2 linked regions of the Ovis aries genome follow. The protein of the gene in region 1 interacts with the protein of each later gene in a biochemical or structural test. Links are inferred from orthologs where the notes say so. Each region holds a gene or a part of one and is shown on either strand. Other genes may lie near its edges.

Evidence for each region.
Region 2: the proteins of MAP1LC3C (region 1) and KBTBD7 form a complex in vitro, tested with the Homo sapiens proteins (2 studies listed by BioGRID and IntAct, with this or other methods). The link is inferred for Ovis aries from reciprocal best matches to the Homo sapiens genes MAP1LC3C and KBTBD7.

The regions. Positions count from the first base shown.
Region 1 is NC_056065.1:34,210,538-34,213,768, reverse strand, and holds the end of MAP1LC3C (microtubule-associated proteins 1A/1B light chain 3C), read left to right. Parts: intron 1-2,018; coding exon 2,019-2,244; 3' UTR 2,245-2,731; downstream 2,732-3,231.
Region 2 is NC_056063.1:11,789,708-11,793,772, reverse strand, and holds the start of KBTBD7 (kelch repeat and BTB domain-containing protein 7), read left to right. Parts: upstream 1-1,265; 5' UTR 1,266-1,545; coding exon 1,546-3,588; 3' UTR 3,589-4,065. UniProt on the Homo sapiens protein: As part of the CUL3(KBTBD6/7) E3 ubiquitin ligase complex functions as a substrate adapter for the RAC1 guanine exchange factor (GEF) TIAM1, mediating its 'Lys-48' ubiquitination and proteasomal degradation.

The DNA of each region.
Region 1 (3,231 bases):
TCAGACAGGGCGAGCCATTGCCAACAGATTCATCTTGCTCTGCTATAAAAACAATTCAGAACTCCTATGAATCTAGCCAAACATGGCTGCTCCTCTGCATCCACAACCCAAGGGGAGGGATTTATACTTTTGCATAGTAATGCTTTTACAAATGGGCTTCCCTGGTGGCTCAGATGGTAAAGACTGCCTGCAATGCAGGAGACCCGGGTTCAATCCCTGCCCAGATTGCTCAGTGGTAAAGACTATGCCTGCCAATGCAGAAGATGCGGGTTCAATCTCTGGGTCCAGAAGTTCCCCTGGGGGAGGAAATGGCAACCCACTCCAGTATTCTTGCCTGGAGAATCCCCATGGACACAGGAACCTGTGAGCTATAATCCATGGGGTTGCAAAGAGTAGGACACAATTTAGCAAATAACAACAACAACCTTTTCCAAATGTCACACCCAAAGCTGCTTAACTGACATGCCAAAATACACAGCATTATGTGTTTTCTTTGCACCACTCAGGAAATTCTTAACTTGAAATTCATAGCAAACTGAGGCATATTTACTTAGCATTTTTGAGCTAAGAATATTTTTTTCTAGTTTTTAATGGGATGGTCTCACAGTCTGAGCTTATCTATGAGTTTGAAGATATTTCAAATCGCCAGAAAAATGAACAATCTTTTAGCCAGTTTTTAATAAATTTATCTTATTTACTAGAGAGAGACAGAGAGCTATGATAGGCAGATTCTTCGATTTCTTTTATTATTATATTTTTGATTGTGATAAAATATTATTTTAATCATTTTTAAGCAATCAGATCATGGCTTTAAATACATTCACATTGTTGTGCAACCATTACCAGTATCCATCTCATCTTCCCAAAGGAAAACTCTGTCCCCATTAAAGACTGATTTTCCCATCCTCTCCTTCCCCTAATCCCTGGAAACCAGCATACCTTCTATCTCTATGAATTTGACTATGCTAGGTACCTCATGTAAGTGGGATCATATGGTATCCTTTTGTGACTGACTTATTTCACTGGACATACTGTCCTTAAAATTCATCCATATTGTAGCATTTACTTGTCAGAATTTCCTTCCTTTTTAAAGGGTGATTAATACTCCATTTATAGATGGACCACGTTTTGTTTATTCATGTGTTGATGGACACTTGAGTTGCTTCCATCAGATTCTTTAGCTTCTGTGCCTTAGTTTATCTGTTATTAGGGAATGAAATGGAACAAAGACTGAAGCTGTATATTAAAAAGTTAGGTAGTGACTTTTCACTTTCCTTGAGGTCCGTAATTAATAATCTGCATGCCCATGCAGGGGCCACAGGTTTGACCCCTCATCTGGGAACTAAGATCCCACATGCACTGGGACAACTAAGCCTGTGCAACCTAGCTGCTGGAGCCTTAGTGCCCTAGAGCCAGTGCTCCACAACAAGAGAATTCACCCTAGTGAGAAGCCCAGGAATAGCAACTAGAGAGAAGCCCCTGCTTGCCACAACTGGAGAAAGCCCACATGCAGTAACAAAAACTCAGCATAGACAAAAATAAAGAAATAAAAATTTTCAAAAAAAAGTAATGACCAGATATAAATTCCTATTTTAGCAGTCACTAGTATAAGCAAGCAAATAGATATAAATGACACTTTGAAAGACTCCGCGCAGCAGCAGGAGTGGAAGTTAGACTGCCTGTGCTTCTAGAGTAACGTTTCAGGGCAAGTTCTGCCTGCTTCACAGTCCCACAGATTCCTGGGCTGCTTCCAAGATCTACTAAACCAAAACCTGTAGGATGGAGTCCACTTGCAACAGGACTCTCCTAGGTAATTCTAAAGTTTGAGGGTAACAGCCCTGGAGTAGGGAGGTGGGGGCATCTTGGGTAGATGGGCTTACACTGGCCAAATAAAAGTAAGCAAAGCTGTGGGTCAGCGATCATTCTCTTCTGGATTAACTTTTGCTTCTGGGTTAACTTTCGCTTCCGGGTTAACTTTTTCCCTTCCTGTCTCCTGCACACCCTCTTCCCCAACCCAGGAGCCGCATGGTCCTAGGGGCCACTGAAGCCTTTTACTTGCTGGTGAACAACAAGAGCCTGGGAAGTATGAATGTGACCATGGCAGAGATCTACAGGGACTACAAGGACGAGGATGGCTTTGTCTACATGACCTATGCCTCCCAGGAGATGTTTGGCTGCTTGGGATCAGCAGCCCCTGAGGATGGGAGCAGCCTTGGGGAGGACAGGCCCTGCCATCCTCTCTAGCACGTGTGCTGTAACCAATGCGTTCACCAGTGCAGGAGGTACGGACTGCTTTGTGTGTGTGCAGTGATGATCCGGGGGCAAACCCCCTGCAGTGATAAGCACCAACCATGACAATGAGGCAAGACCTGCCGTGTTTCCTTTTTTGTGCTCACCCTCTTTGGTGGCTCTTGAAAATTTTGGAAATAGTCAGTCTTTTCTGAGAAAGAAGTAGTTAACTTGCTCAGTGAGCTGGGGAGGTATTTTAAGTGTTTCCTGTGATGGAGGCCAAGCTGGAGGCCCTGGAGGTATGTGATCTGCCTTGGTGGGCAGGAGTCCTGAGTATGCTTGGGCATGGAGATCCTGTGACCTGTGGATGGTCTCCATGGAGCCCGGTGCAGCCATTGTGAACTGCCTCATTTGGGGGCGGTGAGGGTGGCGGGTGGAATGACTGCAGAGGGGAAGTGGCCTTATCTATGTCATTAAAGAGATTATTGTTATTTGCACAGCATTCACTTGACTTGGTTGTTTCCCCTTATATTCTTTTAGTCTGTCTGTGCCCCTCACAAAGTTATGCCGAAGTGGTGACTGCTCAGTTTCAAATAATTTAAGTGATTAGTTTTCCTTACAATAGAAGTTTGTGAGTGCCATTTCTTTGGAGCATCTGAGCTGATTGCCAGCATGCCCACGGCTGAACACAGTGCCAACAACAGTGTATTTTGTGAGTGCACACAAAGGATGATGGGTGACAACAGAGAGCATACTTCTTGGTGGACACCTCCTGCAGAGGAATACTCAGTGGCTTCTTTAACAGCAGGTGCCTGCCCATTCTGCCCACCTCACACTGCAGCTTAGAAGTGGATCTAGGGAGCAGACCCTGCCCCTGACAGGGCTGTGACAACCCACAGAGCCATGAGAAGGCCCCAGCCAATATCCAGGGAAGGCTTGGATCACCACAACACCAATTATATCCCATACCCAGGGGATAAGGGCCAGCAAACACTGAGGAAA
Region 2 (4,065 bases), on another chromosome or scaffold:
TCAAACAGTCTAGATATAGAAAAATTGAAGCAACAAATCACATCTACCTTCAGCAGCATTCCCCCTGTGTTATAGAACACTGACTTCTATAATGCACTATCCACTAGTACCTCCTTTCTAAATCCAAAAAATTGGGTACCCCATACGATGGCTACTTATGCGCTGATCTGTTTATTGTTTGTTATTGTTCTTGTAGGATTCCGAACGTTATGTGCCCGAGTCACCTCCGTCCAAAAAACAGGAGTAACTGTGGCTGCAGCAGTCCTTGCTCTTAAGGAAAAAGGGAGGAGATAAGGAGGAGCTGGAAGGCTTTGAGCAGACATGGAAAATGTATTTGCTCCACTTATGACGAAGGTTGGGAGCTGGAACGAGCATAACGGAGGGTTATGAGCGTGCATCGAGTGCCTGAGGCTGGAAACGGATGACGAAGGGTCAGTACGCCCGGCCTTGAAGCGTTCAAAGGCTTCCTTATGACCACCTGTTTCCTGGGAGCAAGGACTGTTGTTTCACGATAAGACTCCCTTTAGAGTTTTGCCAAAGTCACGTTATGTCTTAGGTGGTGGGAACTGTATTTTATGCTTGAATGCTTTAATGTTTATCTGGAATGGCTACGTGCAAGTCTGCCTTATGCTCTATTCCCTGAGAATTATAAAACTGCGCAGCTGGATAATCAACTTTGTCAGTCCACTAGAGGCTGTCCCTGAATGTTCCTTTCAGAGCGCGGTTCTCCGAGCCTTACAAGAAGCAACAGTAAACACAGTTTTCTTTGTAGAAATTGCTCATGGTTTCGAATAAGTGGATGCCTCATTTTTCATAAATTCTAAATGAAAAGCCAACAGTTACTCAATATTTGCATTTTAGTCACAGTGTAAACAATTATTAATCTAATCAACAAGTATTTATTGAAGCATCCTATGTCCTATGAAATTTAGATCATTCCATTCTCCCAGAATCCTATGAAATACTATTATGCCCAATTTCCAGACAGGGAAAAGTTCTGACAAAAAATTTACACAACTGGTGAATATTAAAACGGGACTTCCACTCTAGACTTCAAACCCACAGCTCTAAACCATCAAATCTGGAATAAACGCTTGCTGATTCTGTTAGTTAAAGCAGTAGACCCCCAGAAGCCTCGCGATATTACTGGAACTACTGATCCCAACATGCACAGCGGCTCCTGTGAGGCGGCCTAAGCCGCAGAGTCCGCGGGGTCCCGGCATGCCTCGAGGCGCGAAAGGCAACCTGGGAGCTGTAGTTCTCCTAGGCACCTACCGGTATTGCCAGCGCGGCGGTGGCGGACCGCTTGGTTCCAGTTTGTAGGTCCTGTGAGGGCGAGCTGAGGCGGAGAAAGGGCGTGGAACTGGAACCGGGTGAGTCAGGCACTGTCTACGCGATAAAGGGAGGCGGCACCGCGGAGCGGGGCTGACTTAAGTCAGCGCGGCAGTCTTTTCAGGGACACAGCGGTCTCGGCGTCAGCGAAAAGAGAGCGAGGAGGCGCCAGAGCCCGGTTCTCGTCCTTCTCTCCCCGCCGCCCTCTTCACCATGCAGTCCCGGGAAGAAGCTCCGCGCTCTCGCCGCCTCGCCAGTCCCCGCGGCGGGAGGCGTCCCAAGAGGATTTCCAAGCCCTCAGTTTCGGCTTTTTTCACGGGCCCGGAGGAGCTGAAGGACACGGGCCATTCTGCAGCCCTGCTGGCCCAGCTCAAGTCTTTCTACGACGCGCGGCTGCTCTGTGATGTGACCATCGAGGTGGTCACCCCCGGCAGCGGGCCTGGCACGGGCCGCCTTTTTTCCTGCAACCGTAACGTGCTGGCGGCCGCGTGTCCCTACTTCAAGAGCATGTTCACCGGCGGCATGTACGAGAGCCATCAGACGAACGTGACCATGCACGACGTGGACGCCGAGTCCTTCGAGGTGCTGGTCGATTACTGCTACACCGGTCGCGTGTCATTAAGTGAGGCCAACGTGCAGCGCCTTTACGCGGCCTCCGACATGCTGCAGCTGGAGTACGTGCGGGAAGCCTGTGCCTCCTTCCTAGCCCGCCGCCTTGACCTGGCCAACTGCACGGCCATCCTCAAGTTCGCCGACGCCTTCGACCATCACAAGCTGCGATCACAGGCCCAGTCCTTTATAGCCCACAACTTCAAGCAGCTCAGCCGAATGGGTTCGATTCGGGAAGAGTCGCTGGCAGATCTGACCCTGGCCCAGCTGCTAGCTGTCCTGCGCCTGGACAGTCTAGACATCGAGAGTGAGCGGACCGTGTGTCACGTGGCGGTGCAGTGGTTGGAGGCGGCTCCCAAGGAGCGGGGTCCCAGCGCTGCAGAAGTCTTCAAGTGTGTCCGCTGGACCCACTTCACTGACGAAGATCGGGGCTACGTGGAAGAGCTGCTGACCAAGCCCATTGTAAAGAAGTACTGTCTGGACCTTGTTGAAGGGGCCCTGCAGATGCGATATGGTGACATGTTGTGCAAGTCCCTGGTGCCCAAGCCAGAGAGCAGCAGCAGTAGCTCTGTTGTGTCCATAGCAGAAAATCCACCCCAGAGGCTGGGTATGTGTGCCAAGGAGATGGTCATCTTCTTTGGCCATCCCAGAGATCCCTTTCTGTGCTATGATCCATACTCGGGGGACATTTACACAATGCCATCACCTTTGACCAGTTTGGCTCACACTAAGACTGTCACCTCTTCAGCTGTCTGTGTCTCTCCAGACCATGACATCTATCTAGCTGCCCAGCCCAGGAAGGATCTCTGGGTGTATAAACCAGCCCAGAATAGTTGGCAGCAACTTGCCGACCGCCTGCTCTGCCGGGAGGGCATGGACGTGGCATACCTCAATGGCTACATCTACATCCTGGGTGGGCGTGACCCCATTACTGGAGTGAAGTTAAAGGAAGTGGAGTGCTACAGTGTTCAGAGGAACCAGTGGGCCTTAGTGGCTCCTGTACCACATTCCTTCTATTCCTTTGAACTCATAGTGGTTCAGAACTATCTTTATGCTGTGAATAGTAAGCGCATGCTCTGCTATGATCCTAGCCATAATATGTGGCTGAACTGTGCTTCTCTTAAACGGAGTGACTTTCAGGAAGCCTGTGTCTTCAATGATGAGATCTACTGCATCTGTGACATCCCAGTCATGAAGGTGTATAACCCAGCCCGGGGAGAATGGAGGCGTATTAGCAATATTCCCCTGGACTCGGAGACCCACAACTACCAGATTGTCAATCATGGCCAAAAGTTGCTCCTCATCACTTCTACAACCCCTCAGTGGAAAAAAAACCGGGTAACTGTGTATGAATATGATACAAGGGAAGACCAGTGGATTAATATAGGGACCATGTTAGGTCTTCTGCAGTTTGACTCTGGCTTTATTTGTCTCTGTGCTCGGGTTTATCCTTCCTGCCTTGAACCTGGTCAGAGTTTCATCACTGAGGAAGATGATGCACGGAGTGAGTCTAGTACTGAATGGGACTTAGATGGGTTCAGTGAACTGGACTCTGAGTCAGGAAGTTCAAGTTCTTTTTCTGATGATGAAGTCTGGGTACAGGTAGCCCCTCAGCGAAATGCACAGGATCAGCAGGGTTCTTTGTAAATATTTTGAAATACTAAGATGTTTCTATTGCTATGAATATATCTTAAAAAGATGTCCTTTCCTTTTTCTGGGGAAAAAAGAAAACTTTGATTAGGATTGCATATTTGGTTTAGAAAGGGTAATGTTTGAGTTGCTAATGTAATGTTATAAAATGTAAACAGTCCATGAAATCAGCTATATAATTTACTGTGCTGAAAGTTGAGATTAAAATATGCCTCCCCCCCCCCAAAAAATGAACCATGTAATTGATTAGAATGCTTGCTGGTTTTTTTTCTGTGTTCAAGAATTTGTTGCACTAGTGAATTGTTTTCATTAATTACACGGTTTATATTTTGATTATCTAATTTAGTCTTCTGTTCATTTTTAAATTCTGTTTAGTGTTGTGGGGGGGAAGTTAGCTTTTTCATTTTTGTGTAGAAAATTGGACTAGAAATTGTTGGCAGGGTTTTGAAGATTTCTATCTTCTGAATAATGAAA